2 linked regions of the Lepisosteus oculatus genome follow. The protein of the gene in region 2 interacts with the protein of the main gene of each other region in a biochemical or structural test. Links are inferred from orthologs where the notes say so. Each region holds a gene or a part of one and is shown on either strand. Other genes may lie near its edges.

Evidence for each region.
Region 1: the proteins of cacna1ha (region 2) and usp5 form a complex in vitro, tested with the Homo sapiens proteins (2 studies listed by BioGRID, with this or other methods). The link is inferred for Lepisosteus oculatus from reciprocal best matches to the Homo sapiens genes CACNA1H and USP5.

The regions. Positions count from the first base shown.
Region 1 is NC_090718.1:2,639,923-2,649,712, forward strand, and holds the start of usp5 (ubiquitin carboxyl-terminal hydrolase 5), read right to left. Parts: upstream 3,908-9,790; 5' UTR 3,552-3,907; coding exon 3,444-3,551; intron 1,732-3,443; coding exon 1,603-1,731; intron 774-1,602; coding exon 707-773; intron 134-706; coding exon 3-133; intron 1-2. Other genes in the region: p3h3 (prolyl 3-hydroxylase 3), read left to right, coding at 5,647-5,956, 7,159-7,343, 8,164-8,316, 9,660-9,790. UniProt on the Homo sapiens protein: Deubiquitinating enzyme that participates in a wide range of cellular processes by specifically cleaving isopeptide bonds between ubiquitin and substrate proteins or ubiquitin itself.
Region 2 is NC_090714.1:12,662,937-12,672,210, forward strand, and holds the start of cacna1ha (voltage-dependent T-type calcium channel subunit alpha-1H), read left to right. Parts: upstream 1-5,551; 5' UTR 5,552-5,655; coding exon 5,656-5,748; intron 5,749-7,407; coding exon 7,408-7,541; intron 7,542-9,030; coding exon 9,031-9,128; intron 9,129-9,274.

The sequences.
Region 1 (9,790 bases), on a different chromosome or scaffold from region 2:
ACCCTCTCGCGGACAACATCAGGCATGTTGGCCAGGTCTTCTGAGGTCACTTCCAGTCTCTCAGGAAAGATAACAACTTTCACTTCCTGGTCGTACTGATCCTGCTCAGACACGTCAAAGCCTCCTTCGATTCCTGAGCAAAAGGAAGATGAATTAATTCAGAATTTAACATACCTCTTCGGAAGTCAGCTATCACAGAGACATTAAAACACACCCTCATACAGACCTTAGAAACACAATTAACACAGAGATTAATACAGATCCTAATATAGACACACTTAACACAGAAATACAGACCCAATTATAGGCACTAATACACAGAGAGATTAATACAGACCCTAATATAGACACTAGAGACACACCTCACACACACAGATCAATAGAGACTCTAATATAGACCCTAGAGAGACATCTAACACAATAGATCAAAACAGATTCTAATATAGACACTACAAACACACCTAAGAAACACAGATTTATACAGACTATTTATATTTATAGATTACATCTTGGCTTTCAACACAATTGTTCCCACCAAGCTGGTCCTAAAACTCAGGAATCTGGGCTAATGCAACTCTATCTGCAACTGGCTAGTGGATTTCCTGACGGGCAGGGGCTGATCCGCAGACTCTGCTGCCTCTTTTGCCCAGCAATTGCCCACAGGAGACGAACACGGAGCCTCGTCAGGCCCCCGCCACGAGCTCACCAATCGCCAGTCGGGTGGGCTTCTTCTTCGGAGGGTCGCCCGCCCCCGATCCGTTCTCCTCTTCCTTCTGCGAGCCAACAACATTGACAGAAGGTCAGAAAACACTTACCCTGGGGCAATACGGAATGTATTCCCATGAGGGGCAAGGACAAAAAACGAAAATAACGGACGATTACATGCAAGCCCGGTAAAAAAATAAAATCCCTGAAGCAGCAGCACGATCCTTTCTAGGAGAAGAAACTCCATGTGTGCTTGCCAGGCCCTGACAGCAGGAGATGTCTGTATAGAGAGATACACCGAGCACTGGGGCCAGAGGGGTGCTAGTCACCCCATCACCAAGAGGTCGGGCAGCCCTAGTACTTGTACCAGAGGCTGGGGGCCCGGCATGGCGGTGCACATCCACAAACTTAATAACATAAAACAATTCCTTACAATTATACAACGCTTTTCTGGACACGCCATTCCAAGCGCTTCACAGGACACGTGTAGCCCCCAGCTGGAAATAAAAAAGTCGCCCTCCTTCGGATGAGACGTTAAACCGAGGTCCTGACTCTCTGTGGTCATTAAAAATCCCTGGGTGTTTCTTGGAAAGAGTAGGGGTGTTACCCCGGTGTCCTGGCCAAATTTCCCCCTGGCCTTTACCAATCATGGCCTCCTAATAATCCCCATCTCTGAACTGGCTTCATCACTCTGCTCTCCTCCCCACTGAGAGCTGGTGTGTGGGGAGCGTTCTGGCGCACTATGGCTGCCGTCGCATCATCCAGGTGGGGCTGCACACTGGTGGTGGTGGAGGGGATCCCCATTACCTGTAAAGCGCTTTGAGTGGAGTGTCCAGTAAAGAGCTATAGAAGTGTAAGGATTATTATTATTATGACAGATGACAGATGGGGGCGTACCTGTGGCCGGCGCGTCCTCTTGATGTGGAGGAAGGCTCTCTGGCCGGTCCGGCGATAGTGTCTCTCCACAAACTGAGCACCGAAGCCCAGGAAGGTGTTCATGCACACGTACAGGCCCCCCTCGCTGTCCTGGGAGGGAGAGAGATAGCGAGAGCGAGGGTGGTGAGACCGACCGCAAGCCAGAGGAGGCCTCTCGGCTCATCTAGAGCGCGTGGTAGTTAGGGGCTGATGGATTCCAGGAACTCATCGAGCTGTGTCCAGAAACACTCGAAAGGGACCCCTCTGCGGTGATGTCATCACTTGCGGTGATGTCAAGGAGAAAATGCTCCGCCCCCTCCAATTGGTGCTGACTCGCCTGCAGGGCTCTGTGGAGCTGGAGCAGTGGCCGGTCAGCACCCGAGCATTTGAAGCATGTTTTAGTCATAGTAAGTTTGGCTCAGCTCGGGAACAGAGCCAGAAGCAGATGCATATTAATGTGGGTATTCTCTCTCGGTCCAAAGACATTGTCTAACAGTAGCACAGAGATTAGCGTCGCTATCTTGCGGTGCTGGGGCCCTAGGTTCAATTCCCGGGGTACTGTATGTGGGGAGTTTGCGCGTTCTCTCTGGGTTCACATGGGCTTCCTCAAGGGGATCTGATTTCCCTCAGTCCAAAGACATGCTGGTGAGTTAATTGGATTCTGGGATAACTTGGCCCTGGCGTAAGTGTGTGTTCCCTGTGATGGACTGGCGTCCTGTCCAGGGTGGACCCTGCCTTGTGCCCCTTGCTTGCTGGGACAGACTCCCCCTCGACTCTGAATTAGATGAAGCCGTTATAAAAGGGAGACTTCAGCTGAAGGGCTTTCCTTTTCTACTGAGCGGGAGATCGCTCAACACTGAAAGGCCTGGAAATCTGCTAGAGTGACTTGCAATTAAACCCAAACCTCTCCCGCAATGGACAGGTCAGCTTTTGTGGTGCATTTCTCCAAGGAACACCTTCAAGACACGCTTGTGCAGAAGAGGAAGGAGGGAACAGGCCGATTCCTGGCGTTCTGACAGTTTGGCAGAGGGAATCCCTATCTGTCAGATGATGGTACCTGGCAGGGACACTGTTTGGCTGAGCCTGGAAACTACAGTGCATGAATACTGCATTGGGAGACGGAGAGCATGCAGAAACAGTGACTCAGACTACAGGGGTGTGTTGTAATGGACTGGCCAACTGGCACACACACATATACAGACCTGCAGACACAAATTGGCACACACAGACCTGCAGATACACAGACGAACTGGCACACACACACAGACCTGCACACACACACACAAACTGGCACACGAACATGCACAGACATGTAATGGTCTACACAGAACAGCTGACAGACGCTACTACACAACTTTTCGGTCAGGAAGGGGCGATACAGATGTTAGCAAGCGCCTCACACAAATATGAATTACAGAAAGGAAACAACACTACTCCCAAGTCAACCCGAGGGAGTTACACCGCCTAACAGAGACGGAGTGGAGGGATAGTAGGAGCAGACGAGGCAGAAATGGGCAAAAATAGACCCAGAGAGAGAAAATGAAGGCAGAAAGAAGTAAAGAAACACACTGGAACGAAAGAACACAGCGCGAAAATGGGTGGATATGCGGTTCTGGGAAAGACGGGTGAACAGATATTCAGACGATAGGAAAGGAGGGGGAGATTTTTGGACAAGGCGGGCCGGCGGGGGGGGACAGACAAGAGAGACAAACACACAGAAATAGCCCGGAAAAGCAGGAGCGGGGAAGACAGAAACAAAGACGTGGCCAGACGAGACAGAGACGGGGTTCAAGAGGGAAAGACTATGGATGGACTGGACTCACCGGACTGGCGAAAGAGAAAGCGCACTCTTCCTTGTGAACGCTGTCCCCGGGCCGTGGGACACGGATCGTGGACAATACCGACATCAGCACTTCGCCTAGGTCCGACATCGTCCTTCTCTTTTCTGTCCTCTTTTTTTTTTTGGTTGGTCTCTTTCTCTCTCCGGCTCGGTCCGTCTCTCTGTGTCACTGGAAACTGTAAGGCCGGGCGCGCTCCTGAGGCCAGACACACTCCGAGTCCGCCGCGGACGCGCGCCTAACCGTAATACAACTAGTACGAAGGAAGTCCCGTTTTGTCTTAACTCATAATTCCATCCTCAGGCATAAAACGCATTTCATTATGCATCCAATCCACTGATAAAGCTTAACTCATGGGAATGTACAAATAACAAATATGTTAAACGTTTTATATTAAATTTTGTTTAATTGCTCTAATCTCGATGAATATCTCTTAATAGCTTTATGCCGAAGGAAAATAGTGGGTGGCAGTTAATTTTAATAGCATTTAATTGGAAAAAAGTGATTGTGAAATATGCATTAAAAGCTTTCTGGACAGAAGTGAATAATAAACGGTATTAAAAACCTAACAATTTCTAGTTGGCTCTCACAATTATTTATATACATAAATAAGTAAAAGTAAAACAGACTCTGTACACAGGAACTCACATAGTGTTACTGTATTAATTCTAGTGACATTTGGAAGTTGTCCTATGTTGAACTCAACAATAATCTTATCGTTCCTTATATATCTTAAAATACGGTAACGGCTGATCCCGAGAATGCTGCTGCGCCGACAATGAGAAAGCGGAAAAGTCACTCCGGCTGCCCCGGAGAAGAGCCACTGCCACCTAGCGGCGGGCGGAGCGGGTCGCCTCGGTCATTAAGTTCGCTTCGGAAAAAGTTCCGAGTCAGAGAAGCAGTGTAGACTTTCTATGGACTCACAGATTCAAATGTAGACATACTAATTACTGCCTTTTACGTGTTGTGTCGTAAAATAGTAGTAGGAAAAAACACGTAGTAAAAAAAAATTAAATACAATTGTGTACATTAATCCAACACGAATGTTCAGAATCAGAACCGTCCAGCGCTTATGAGCCACATTTATGGCGTTTATTTCGGTTTACTAAGCGGTTCTGCTCCCGTACACTGCGACACCCCCTGAGATAACTGATTAATATTATCTGTTCACGACTTGCCTTACCGAGTTGCAGTAAACGTAATGCTTAAAAAGGCAACAAGTTATCCATCGACCGCCACGTACTAAGCATAAGGTATTGCAACTAGTAACGGCTCCTTAAATTTAAGAGTTCATGTATCACGTCAGCGACCGGGCGAAAACGTGCCTTTATTAACACAGGATGAAGACCCACACTCAAATACGTGCGCAGATTAGGCAGCACAAGGCGTATGTTGTCGTTGTCTGTCGTTCTCCGTTTCTCCCGAGAAGATGGTGCGACTTTCCCCAGAGACGCAGCGAGACAGAGCGAGTTTGTGTCGGTACCTTAACGAATACTCCTCTATGGGGTGGTGCATCGTTGTGTATACAATTTCCCGTTTATTCTTGCACACTTGGGGAATTACTGGCGCTGCCTCCCACGTAATGACAGACGGCTGCGTATGCAATACAGGAGAGCTGAGAAAAGAGTACCCTTTGTGCCTCATTTGTGTTATAATGACTGTATAATTATTGGGGGGGTAGAAAGACTAGGGAAAGTGGCACGTAGCCTCGACACAAAAACAGATTGAACACTTTTCCAAATGAAATCAACGATGAATGAAATTCGTTTTGCCGGCGTTTAAACGTGAGTTCTGTCGACGGCGCAAACTGCAGGGGTCTCGCTGCGACGTGGTTGGGCCGAAGGGCAGAAGAAGAGGGTCAGCAGAGCGCTTTCAAGGGCTTGAGGAATGCGGTCGGTCTGAACTCGCACAGCATTCTTCCCCACCGCGCAGGAGGATACTGTCTTCAGGGTACGACACGGTCCTTCCCCCCTCTCCGCTGTAACTCGACACTCCCCCTTCAATAATTCTCCCACACCGCAGAAAACCAGCCCCGTCTCCTCCTCTCTGAGCCCTTCCCCACAACTGTCGCCCCCCGTCCCAGGAGAAAGAGAGAGAGGAGGGAAAAAACACACTTTAATTTTACTACATCTCTCCCTCCACATCTCTCTGCCCTCCCATCTCCTGGAGGACCAGTCTCGGAATCCGAATGGCGTTTCGCGGAGGAAACACCGCAGCTAGCGACGTGGCACCGGGCTCCCCTCTCCTCTCTCTCCTCCTCCTCCTCCTCTCCCTCTCTGCCCGGGCCGCCGGGGCCCTGCTGGAGCCCGTCGGGGGCCAGCTGCTGCCCTACGACCGCCTGTACTACTCGGGCGTGCGGGCGTATTTCACGCAGGAGTGGGACCGCGCGGCCGAGTTTCTGGAGCGCTCCATCGCCACCCGGGCCGAGCTGCTCCAGGTCCGACGCGGCTGTCACGACCAGTGCGAGGCGGCGGCGGCCGGGGACTCCGCTCGCCTGGGTAACTACCGCGCCGGTGGGGATGCATGTGCTCTTTAAACACTGGCTTGGCATAGCCCACTGCTGATCTTTAACTTCGGTCACTGAAGGGCGTGGACTGACTGGACCGGACAGATTATTTATGATGCGCTGGTGCTTCGTTGACGGGTGATCGGTAACGATTCCCGAATGCTCGGGTGCGAGTTTTTGTCATTGGTTTTTGATGACACCGAAGAAGGCACTTGACTGAAAACCGGCCATCGATGTTTGAGAGAGACGGTACAGGAGAGAGATCTCAGGGCAGCTGAAGAAACGCCTGCTTTTTTATTCTCCTCCAGAGCCCCCAAATTTACTTATTACTCCTGTCACACCCCCTGCCGGTGTCTGGGCTATCGTTCACAGCTCCTGTGACTTGAGTCACGCTTTAAAATCCTCCGGTCAGGCAGTAGCTAGCTCATGATCTCTGCCTGTGCTGGAGAAGCATAGAAGACCCAGCAGCCTTCAGGACCCGAGTCTGGGACCCCTGGGCAACTGTAATATCGTACCCAATTGAAACCGATCAGCACAGATTGCTTTTCCCCCGAGATCATCCTGCACTGGAGGTTATCACTGGGATGAGCGTTAATGATGGATTATTGACAGACTGTCAACCGTGAGGCGAGTCAATAATGTCAGGAATGGATAAAGCAGCCAGAAGAGTGTCTGACTATTCGTTATTGATTATGACCCACACTGTCAATGATGATGTCTGGGAGCTGGCAGGTAATCAGACCTGATCAGCCGCTGGAAGAGTATCTTGACTATCTATTATTGACTGTGATCCACAGTATCAATGATGATCTCTGGCAGTAATCAGACCTGATCATCTGCTGGAAGAATGTCTCACTATCCATTATTGACTGTGATCCACAGTATCACTGATGATCTCTGGCAGTAATCACACCCGATCACCAGCTGGAGGAGTGTCTGACTACCCATTATTGACTATAATCCACACTGTCAATGACGATGGCTGGGAGCTGGAAGGTAATCAGACCTGATTAGCTGCTGGAAGAGTGTCTGACTACCCATTATTGACTATGACCCACACTGTCAATGACGATGTCTGGGGGGTGGTGGAGTGTCTGTCTTAATTCTCAGACGGGTCAGAGGGTGATACGGCTGTAATCGGTTCAGCCCGGGAGTAAGCAGTGGGACTGACTCAAGATTATTGATGCTCGATAGACAGCGCGGATGGGAGTCTCTGGGACCTGGCTGTGTTTGGGTTGGTGCAGCGGCGGGCTGAGTGTCTGAAATTCTGCCTGGAACAGCGCGTTACCCCTTCTGCCATCCCCCCTGTCTCCCTGGACATCCAGTATGAGTTCACCAACCGGAATCCTTATAACTACCTGCAGGTGACCTACTACAAGGTACTGGCTCTGTGTCTGCCATCTTATCTATGGGTGTACACTGCTGGCTGAGTCTGTAACTGTATATCTCCCTGATTGGTTCATCATCTTACTGTACGTCTTGTCTCTATACAGTAACTCCGGGCACCTGTCTCACGTTTGTCTGTTGTGTATCTGTTTGCCTGCATTGATTTCTCATTCTCAGCGCAGTGTGAATCTCTCGTTGTGCTGCAGCTGTATCACCCTGCAGCTCACAACTGGCAGCCCCCCCTGCAGCTCACCAGGTGTGAGCCTGGCCAGTACCTGGATGGGAGACCTCCTGGGAAAAACTAAGGCTGGTGCTGGAAGAGATGTGTTAGTGGGACCAGTGGGGGGCGCTGGTCCTGTGGTCTGTGTGGGTCCTAATGCCTCAGTATAGGGACGGGGACACTGTACTGTAAAAAAATTGCACTGTCCATCAGCTGAGAGATTAATCTGAGGTCCTGACTCTCTGGGGTCATTAAAAATCCCAGGGTGTTTCTCAAAAAGAGTAGGGGTGTAACTGGTGTCCTGGCCAAATTTCCACCCTGGTCTTTACCAGTCATGGCTTCCTAATAATCCCCATCTCTGAACTGGCTTCATCGCTTTGCTTTCCTCCCCACTGAGAGCTGGTGTGTGGGGAGAGTACTGGTGCATCATCCAGGTGGGGCTGCACACTGGTGGTGACAGTGGGATCTATTTCCTGTAAAGCACTTTGAGTGGAGTGTCCAGAAAAGCGCTATAGTGTATGGAATCATTATTACCTCCACTCAGCCTGTAGGGCCCTTGCGTTTTGTGTTGACCTCCTCCTCCTCTCTTGCAGCTGGGCAGGCTGGAGAAGGCGGTGTCAGCCGCCCAAACCTTCTTCGTGTCAAACCCGAGCCACCTGGAGATGAGGAACAACCTGGAGAAGTACAGGAGGATGAAGGGAGTGAGGGAAGAGGCCTTCTTCGACAGGGAGAAAGAGAAGCACTGGGTGAGTGAGAGAGTCAGAAATCCCACCCCCTGCATGGGGATGCAGGTCAATACAACACAGGGAACAGCTGTGCCACACTGTTGGGCCCGGTTCAGGTGTGCCAATGCCTTCAATAGCCTTAAGCCTGCGTGTGGAAGGATCACATATCTGCTTACCCTGGCCACTAACTTCAATAGGAACTGTCACCAATGCCATTTCAAATGCAAATAATATGAAATATATCCTACTGCACAATCCCTGCTCTACTGTTCAGGCAATAACAAGTGTGAGTAACACACTTACAATAAGTGCATGAAAGCTACTCCAATTATACAGAAAATAAGCAAAGGAGTTAGAAGAAATGTTCCTTAATTTACAAAAATGAGTTACTTTTTCCGATTGCTTTGGTTTGTCCGCTACTCACATAGTAAAACTAACATACGTGGCACATTTCTTCATTCTCGTCAGAGGAACATGTCCTATTGGTCATGTTATTTTAACTCTGCAACCTTGAATCCATCCATTTTCTAACTGCTTTATCCAGCAATGGGCACAAGGCAGGATACACCCTGGGCAGGATGCCAGTCCATCACAGGGCACACACACTGACACCAACACACACACACTCACACCGGGCTGTCAGTCACCGGGCAGGTGCTTCATGCCAGCATGCTTTCGGACTGTGGGAGGACACCAGAGCACCAGGAGGGAAACCCACGCAAACACGGGGAGAACATGCAAACTCCACCCAGACAGTACCCCAGGACCTAAACCCTGAGCCCTGGCACTGCGAAGCAGCAATCCTCACTGCTGCCTCTGTGCTCATCCATGCCAGAATCAGAGCCTGCCACCTCCTGCATTCAAGCTCTGACAGGACAGAAGGTCGAGTGGTCTTGACTTCAGGTGAAAGGGTGGCAGCAGGTCCTGTGGTTGAGATATAATCAAGCTTTAAGCAGAGTACCATGAGCTATAGTACAATGCATTTGCTACAGTGTAGTGTAGTGTTTTCTACCGTTTAGTACAAAACAGTTTAGCACAACATAATATTCTACTCTCCAGTACTATACTACAGTGTTACTGCAGTGCTGTATTACCCAGAGTTTGTAGCTGGTTCTTTGCACTTGTGAACTGCCGAGTCCACTTTGAGAAACTAAGTGTTAGACTGAGTGGAAGCAACTGTTTCATGAAAACAGGTGCCTTTTTTTAAGTATGCTGTCCACCTGCTCCAGACACTCTTGTGTCTCATGGAATGAAGAAGTACAGTATCTCTCCATCTCCTCCACCTTGTCCACTTCTCTCTGCCTTTCTCCATATCTCTCCCTGCTTCCAATACCTCCCAATACCTCTGCCCCTTCTGTGCTCAGACCCTGCATGACTCCGGCGTATTGGCTGAGAGCATCTCCGATTGGCCGCGGGCGGCAGAGGCATGGAGGGAGTGTGTGAACGAGACGCTGGCTGCAACAGAAGAGTGCAGAGCCAACTGTGCGGGGGAGGC
Region 2 (9,274 bases):
CTGTTAAAAAGACATGATAACACCAGGTTTGGTTTGTATCCTCTGTTTTCCTTTGATAAAGTGAGGAGCCGTAGAAAATGTGCAGTCTTGAAAGAATTTTTTTTTTTTTCATTTGTAGCGAAGAAAATGAGGAGAAGATCTGGAGATTGAGGGTGATAAAAAACTCACTCATCTTTAGGGGACATCCGGGCAGCTCCTTCAGCCACTGGCACATGTGAGAATTGAGATTCACAACAACCAGTACACAAGTGACTGGTTACCTGTAACCTATTAAAACCGTGACCAGGTGGGGCATTTCTTTACCCTGAGGGTTGTAGGGCTCTGGGACAAGACAGCCACGTGGTTGAAGCTGATACCCTTGCTTCCCTCACGAAATGGCTGGATGCCATCCTTGGATCCATAGACTACAAACTGCCAAAAGGCCTGAACAGGCCTCTAATTTTTTTTCTAACCTTTTTCGTGACCTTGTTGAAAATTGAAAGGAGAAGGCTTCGGGGGAGGTAATTGCTTGAGACAAAGAAATACAATAAATAAAATGATCTTGGTAGATCATTTCAAAGTGGAGAAGGGGGCAAAGTTACATTCTAGAGTTACTGTTGATGCCTGTGGTGTCATAGCTTCGAGTTTGACTTTATCTGTTTTGGGATCAGTGCACATTGAGATAAGCACGGCTTTGCATGGTTTTAATCTTTTAAAGATCAAAGAGTGCGTGAAATAGCGTTGAAGGGTTTCTTTAGCCTGTTACAGAAAAACTCTTTTCACTCTACGTCAACAGAGAAATGGTTGACTGACAGCAATGCCATTTGAATGGACAGTCCGGTTTCCCAGTCTTTGGTAGCATCAGAGCAGAATCGATGTGACTCTGTCTTAGGCCTGCAGTGCAGGTTCAAGTATTTCACAAATCGCTTCTCCGGCAGTGTGCTGGCAGGCAGTGTCTGCAACTTTCTTAACATGGAAATTTATTCGGAGAAGCAATCACAGTAAACTTGCTAATGAGAATTCTGCATAAGCTCGCACTGTAGAGATAATTTTTTTTTTTTGCAAATGCATAAAAAATGAGTTATTGGTGGCCTTTGTTTAAAGTGTGCCTGCCTTTCTGGGCTCTGATCAGTATGGGCATGTCAGGAGAAGTCTCCTCAGTTGTTCAAGGCAAAAATAGAATTAGGAAAACCGTTCCCTGCGGTTGGATCCTCGGTTTCGGAGGGGGGTTGTGTGAGCTTGTTGCTCCCAGGGGCCCTGATGCTGGGAGTGACCTCCAGCTCACTTCCAGCCTCCCCCTCTCCATTCCTCCCAGCAGTCCTCCAATCCCTCAGCCCAGCAAAGACGTTTATCTTGCTGGGGTAATTGAATCTGCATGAATAATGAAAACAAACATCAAACAAAATAAAATCAAGTCTCATTTGTAGAATAAAGAAGATGAACTAGTAAGCAAGACTCTCAATAACTCATGTTGTCAAAGGCTGTTCATTCTCCCTCAGAGATTTTATACTATATATGAGATATAATGCAACAAAGGCTAACATTGCATTAATTCTGCGAGAGAAGTATCAGTTTAGTGTCAGGCTATCCACACAGTTAGATTGTGTATCTCTACAACCTTATTGCAGCTCAATTTAAAAAAAAAAGTGCCATTTAATTTTTACAATGCTATTTGCTTAACTGAATGTAGAAGTGGAATTTTTTCATCCTTGAAAAATAATACCAGTTATATGACCGGAACTGTATATACACCCAAGTGTGGTTTCTGTTTATGAGTATCAGGCTACGATCAGAGTGTATACATAAGGATGCAGCTTCACGTTTTTGTAGATACTGTAGGCGCTGTCCTAAAAGGTCATCCACGACAGGCCTAAGCACTGGACTGCATGAACCATTACAGGATTTTAGGAGGATTGTTTTTTGCTCAGATTGTAGATGTGCATTGGAGTCGGAGTTCCGTCAAGAGTGTTACATTCATGCAAAAAAATTAATGTGAGCTGTTTGCTATACTCTGCCTCTAGGGCGAAGGCTTTTGAACACTGCTGATTCCTTTGTTTAAATGGATGGCAGAAATGTCCTCAACTCCTGCTATGCTTGGCTGAGAAATTATTAATGGTCTTGAGCTTTACTTGAGCTTTGGAGAATTTTATTTGGGGGGGAGGGGGGGGATCAATTTTGAGAAAGACACAAGAAACGATTTTTTGAAGTGTCGTGCCAAAGGAATTTCTTTGGCCTCACGTATGTTATTATGAAGGCCATGCTTTAATCTGCGAGTGCAGGAGAGCTCTGTGCTCTTCCTTGTGTGGTGAAATTATCCCGATCAGCCAATTTGCAGCCCCCATCACTTCACCAGAGGCACATTCTGCTCTGAAGTGAGAGAGCGCTTCCCTCTTTGTCACAGGCGGAAAGAGTTGCTGGATTCCTGCCTTCAGAACTGGAAACTGATGGGAAAAAATGAAAAAAGGTTCAGTCCCCTGAGTGGAACAGCACTGGTGGGAAACTAAGAAGAAAAAATTCAAGGCTTAGACATAAATCAGAAGTTGTAGCTGGGTGTGACTGATATTTCTGAAGGGCAAAAAAAATATCAGGGTTTCTAAAGCTTGTTTTTAATATTGCATTTTTCCAAAGCTTCATTACCCCGTGCTAACATGGAAATCTCATGGTGTAATTCAAAGCATCCATCAAAAAGCCTGCGGTGTATATGAAACAAGTCCTGTAGGACATTGTCAAACCACCAAAATGGTTTGTTCCAGCTATAGTCCCATCCCTCAGGCAAAAGTCCAGTAAATGTGATCTACATTATGTATTGGCTGTCTGGATTAATTCAGATTGCTAATCGCAGTATCTTACTGTGGGACCCAGTGTCCTATTTTGTTTGTGGTTGGTGTTGAAAACTCTTTCAACAGTGAATTCTGAAGATGTGATCTCCCTCTCTCTGCAGGTTATTCTCTTTTTCCTGTTTTTTATACAGTCATTCGAGTATGACTTGGACAGCCTGTGAGCTAAACCCTTCGTTGCACTGAAATAACTGTTGTTTTTGTCAGTGACTGAGCTCAGGTAAAGTGCCACAGCACTTGCTAAATTCTAAGGAGACGGGTTGCACTCTATTCACTTTATGTATCAGTACAGCATACTGAATACATATTTTTATGTCCCTCTTAATGCAGAAAAAGTCTTGCAGCAATCCTCTTTCTCTTGCTTAGTCTGAGCTCATCGTTTTGGCCTTGAGAAAGCTTGTTGCAACCTTCGAGGATTCACTGTATTTGCTTCAAAGATCAGTCATGAGTGATTTGAAGTAATGCAACTTGACACTGTCTCTCTGAGCGTCTGTGTGCTGCTGGTATGCAGAAGACCTCCCTTCAGATGATATTCGACAGTACTGAGAGATTGTCTTGACAGAGAAGGTCTTCATCGCTGGGGCCTGCGTTGCGAATCAGTGCTGTGCTGTAAGAACAGGCCATGTTTCTGTTCCAGCCTGCGTGACTGGAAGGCTGTGCTGGGTTTTTTTTCGGATGGGAGATGTCACGTCACCCTAATGCCCTCCCTGCTCTCCTCTGGCCAGCTAGGAGCTATCAGGTAGAGCTTTCACTAGGAGGAAGTCATTCCTGTCTTTTGCATCCTGGGGTTGTTAACCGAAGGGACAAACGTTTTGATCATATATATTTTCAAAACTTAGAAGTACAGTATGCAATGTGTTCTCTTTATTTTGTTTATTGAGGCATAATATTATTATAGTTCAGGTGGGGAGCTGCGTCAGCATGCGTAGGCTGCAAAAGAACAAGTAATAGGTTTATTCCGTGCTGGAAAGAGAAGAAATATAACACAATGTTTCAGCTGTGGAGACTTCTTCAGGTCTGACCACTACAATATTCTGTGCCAAGATGTCCCCTTGGACGCTTTGAGGCAAGCATAGCTCTGTTGTTCTGGATCACACTGTACTGTACGTGCTGGATCATTGTGAAACACTAGTGGGTATGCAGACCCTTCGATACTGAAATGACCAGGGTCAGCAGTCTTATCACCTTCTTAACTACAGCTTAATATCTGTTTCTGCTGCCAGGAATTGATGCTTACTATTCCAGCGACTGTTATATCTGAATGTTTCACCGCCTCAGGAACTTGCCTTGTCCTCAGCACTTTTTTTGTCACAAAGGCCCAATTCAAAATAAAGTGCTGAGGACAGTTGGGATTACACACACACACACAGAGAAAAAAAAGTTGAACGCCTTTTTTTTTTTCAAATCTTGGTATCACGCAGTTTTCTCTGTCAGTGGCCGGGCGTTTTGGAAAGCAGGCCAGCGGGTGTAGAATTCTTGTTTACAACAAATGGCCACATGACTTTGGGTACATGTCACTCTTTAAATAGTCTCCCATGTGAATGATGAGCTGTTATTAAACTGTGCCTGAACTAACTCTATTAGTTGTATTAACATTCCTAATTAAACACCACTTCATTAACTCTCCATTTCCTGTGATGCCTTGACAGTTTTGTTCTGATGTTAAGAATTCCCCTGAATATGACGTCTTAGGCAGACCTCCCTTTGTACGCATGCAGTGATAATCAAGGTTACATTCGAAAGCATTTTGATACTGCTTATGTTACAGTGGGAGTGCCCACGAGTTACAGCCTCTTTCATCAGAGTACTTAGTGTACTGAGCTCACTACAATAAGATGTCTTTTCCAAGCACGGGGACAAACCACCAAACCAAAATCTCTTGTTTCCTGGTCTGAAGGAGTTTGCTCATTTGGTAAGGAAAACAAAGAATGGGATTAAAGTGGGATAGACATACTGTACCTCTCTGATTTTCCATATCATATGCATTTATGAACACAAGAGATAAATCTTTGGGTAGAAGAAATCCTGTTAGGAACTGACACGCCGCTGCTACAGTATGTGAGTGTTTTGCCTACAGGTATAGCATGAGAATCTTTAAAAGGGGTTGAAATTGATTAGTACACTAAGAAAGCAGTGAAAATGCTGGGGTTTTTTTCCTTTTGTTTTATTTGGGCTGCAGTCCTGTTTAGGATATTTTGGGCTGCAGTGAACAGTTCTAGGACAGTGCTACCACTCCGCCCCCCTGATGTCCTTCGTGTCCTTCATCCTCCAGGTTTCCCCTCTCTCAGGATCGCAGTCCAGAGCACTGCTGCTGCTGCTCCTCCTGGACACGGCAGCTCCTCGCCAAATCCAAACCCCAAGGCAGATGCATGTGGGAGACCATGTGTTTTGGGCTTTTTCTATGGAAACGCACCATTGCTTTCCAGCATTTAATGATCCCTTCTTAGGAACATTATCATTAAGATTATTATTATTTAAAAAGGATAAATTCATTTGCAATTCAGCAAATAAAAGTTCATTAGCACCCACAGCTTTAATGCACTGGGAACAAAAAAGGTTTCCGAGCTCATTGGCATGCAGTTTTTCATTGCTAAATTGATCTCCCTTCTCAAAGATGTCGAAAATTCAGGCTAGATGCCCCCCTTCCACCACGTACTGCAATTAACAGGAATTCATAAGGGAGCAAGCCGACTTAGGAAAACAGCAACTCTTGTTTTTTTTTTCCGTCCAAGAGTTTCATGTACTGCCGGTTTGTTACTTTCCTGTGCTAACTGCCACTGTTGTGTCTAATGGAAGCCCCTTCCTTGACTCCTGTTGCACCTGGTTCGAACATGTCAGCATGCTGGTCATCCTCCTGAACTGCGTGACCCTGGGGATGTACCAGCCCTGTGAGGACCTCAAGTGTCAGTCTGACTGGTGTACCATCCTGCAGGTGAGTGCAGACGGAGAAGTACTCTCCATACCTTCTACTGGGCAGTGGGGCAGCAGGTTCTCACGTTTTGTAGGTTGCTTCGTACAAGAAAATACCTCTCTTGTCACATCTTTAGCAAAGCTTTACAGCCTTAAAAGTATAGACCTACTGTATAGTTAATTGAGTCTTTGCTTTAGCTGAAGCACGTGATCCTTCTTGAAACCATTTTCTATGTGTACTGTGCCTAACAGTTTGAGCCACACCAGCTAAAAAAAATAAACCCGTAGAGGAAAATATCTGATGGAAAAAGTCCAGTTTATTTAGTTTAGCTTTTGGGAAGAATAGCACAAGAAAAAAAAGCCCTGTCTTTGGTGCAAAGATAGAAATTTGCCTCACTTCATCTTGGAGTTCTCCATATGAATTCTGGAAAAAACAAAAGAGCTCAGGAATGGTTTTTTTTATTATATTTATTCAAAAAATTAACATACAGGATGAAAACTTCATCCACATTGCAGTGTCCTATTTGGCGGACTATAAGCAAAGGTGTTTTGAATCTAGCATTACAGTTTGCAAACAGGTAGTAGGGAGTGGATTTAGTTCCTTGAATCATTAAAAAATTCTGGGACTCAACATGAAGTGTCAGAATGCAAAAATCCCAAATTTCCAAGTGTTGGCGTTATGTACCGGACAGTACTGGACCACTTCAAGCTCTGTCCTAGACCCACTGTTCTGTTCAGACGTACAGTACGCGCATTCTGTTAAATAGTGGTTTTAACTATTCCTCGGGCGACATTTTCACCGAATTAGGGAGCTTCCTCTGCAGCTCTGGCACATGTCAAGCTCTGGTGACATCTTACGGTGACAAATTCCCAGGCAAAAGAAAGACTGATTCCACCCTGCAGATATATCGGTTGGTGACCCGTCCCTTCTCCCTGTATTCTCGTTTCGGGCTGGTTACTGTGACTGTGGGAAAGTCTTGAGGTTTGGGCTGGAGCCAGGATGCCATCCAGTGCCATCGCAGTGCAGGCAGCTGTAGGGCAGCAGGAGTGGGCTGGACATTCTAACTGCTCCACTCCTGTGTCCAGGAAGAGGACTTTGTTTATCTGGTTCTTGGTGGTTGTTAACATGTGCATATAAAGTAGTATCTTCTCTGCATTTAGTACTTAAAGGGAGGTAGCTGAGGTTGTTGATAACAGGATCTTTAAATTCTATCCCTCATAAAAAGGTCAGCCTGTAGTTTCCCAGTTTCTGTCAACAAAACAGTACAAGAAACACTGTTTACGAAGAGGCACTTCTGTTGATCTTGCACACTTGGTTACTTGTAGCTCATTTGTTCATATAGTGCAACTTGTTATACCACATTTGAACATTTGCACAGTCTTCCCTAAGCAGTGAGGGGTGACAGTGACTGGAGTTTGCTCATCTGTAATTTATAGTGTTCCAATAAAGTCTTGTTTTCCTATTCCTAGTGGTTCTCTAGCATTACGATTACCTCATTATTATTTTATTCAAAGTTATTTTACCATCCTCCTCCCTATTTCCAGAAGCCCTGCCAAGACTTACCATTAAAAATCTCGATCTGTTGACTTTGTGGCACAGAACCCTCAAAAATGAACTGTTTTGGAAGGAATCGTAATGTCAGACACTGCTGATGGTCCAACTCATTGTTTTTCTTTGCAGGCGTTTGATGACTTTATTTTTGCCTTCTTCGCCGTGGAGATGGTCATCAAGATGTTGGCTCTAGGGATATTTGGGCAGAAGTGTTACCTGGGCGATACGTGGAATCGTCTCGATTTCTTCATCGTTATGGCAGGGTGAGTGGTCCATAAGAAGAATAACAATGCAGAACGCCTGTCTCTCCTGCGTTTCAGGGGAAAATCCCAACAGTAGAATGGCCCTGAATATTGGAAAGTGCTGCCAATGTGTGCTCTGGCATTTACATGTGGCATAGTTTGCAAATATTACATAAGCTTATCCTTAAGAGAATTTGGCCGGAGAGCCTGTCTCTTCTAATGTGTTGTCGCCTCCGGAGGAAATGTAGAAGTTGTGACGCAGAGAGCTCAGCACTTGCTAATGAGCTGAGCAGGGCTGAAGTTGTCTGTGAAAATGTTAGGTAAACGTCGTTATCCGTCTCAGTTATTCATGAATCCGTTTCATCACAGCTGAGCGCTCGATAATTATGCATTCCGCTTGTTGGATGTATACGGTGCACGCAGAGGAACACGCATCGGGGAAGAAAGGAATCAAACCAAAATACTCAAAGAAAAAGAGAGGGAAACAATTAGTAGTCTCGTTGCAGAGCACTTTAAAGACCAGCAGTCCCCACTGGACTGAGAGGGAGAAAAATGTTCTACTGGCCTAGGAGTCCTGGTCCCCCTCAGTGTTAAAAGCAAGGGAAGAGAAGGCTGGGAAGGCTGTGTTTAATGTCACCACTAATGTCAAGTCAACACCTCACTCTGCCGCTCAGGAATCCCCATGGGTTCTGAGCTCTTGCCTGCACGACACTTTTAAAGTCCAAGACAATTCTCGCTGCCTGCTTGTTCTCTCCTAATTCTGCTTCCTGATTAATTTTACCTGTCTCACATCAAAAGCAGCAGCTGTTCCTGGTAATTTTGCGTTCAGTAATAAGGGAAGCACATGTCGAACACTTTCTCCATCTGCATGCAGTATTGGCTCAATAGGAAATTGTGTTACATTTTGAATTACTGATGCATATTATGAAGGCTTATCATTCATTATAACTTTGGGCCTTATTTTTCAAAGTTATTCAGAGGCATTCAAAAGAGTAGCACCACGTCTGTGCAGTTTTACAAACCCCTAGACCAAAAAAATAATTTATATTCTAAAAATATGCCCACGGATTTGACTGTTTTTGTCTTCTGCCTGCCAATTTCTTATTAGGGGATTTCAGTGAACCCTTACTCATCAGTTAATCAATTTTCCACTGGTAGAAAATCAGGACCTAGGTGTTTATAAAAGACCCGATCTGAGACGACTGCCACATGCGCATGCCTTTCCAGAATACATTAAATGTTTAGGAATGGAAATATGGGATTCCATTAATATTTATCAGATACGTATACAATGCAGCTATTTTTTTCAGAGTTGGTGAAGTATACTCTACAAATCAGCATACAGTATATACAGCAATATACCATTTGTCACACACATAAAAAATAGTCTTCCTGAAGAACTGCCAGGAAATTGAGCAATATAACCTTTTCTGCCAGTGTTCCGCAGCTGTCCCTGATATACAGTCTAAGTGCTGATCCAGTGATGTTCCTCCTTGCTGTTTCTGTGCAGGATGATGGAGTACTCTTTGGATGGCCACAATGTCAGCCTGTCTGCCATCCGCACTGTGCGTGTGCTCAGGCCACTCAGAGCCATTAACAGAGTTCCCAGTAAGTGCCTTTTCTGCTCAAGCCTTTTATTCGGAAACACATGCTTTTGGAAAGGAAACAAGAAAAAGTGGATGTACTCTTGACATACATATACACACACTTGCTAAATATATTATATTGTATATTATTATTATTATTATTATTAT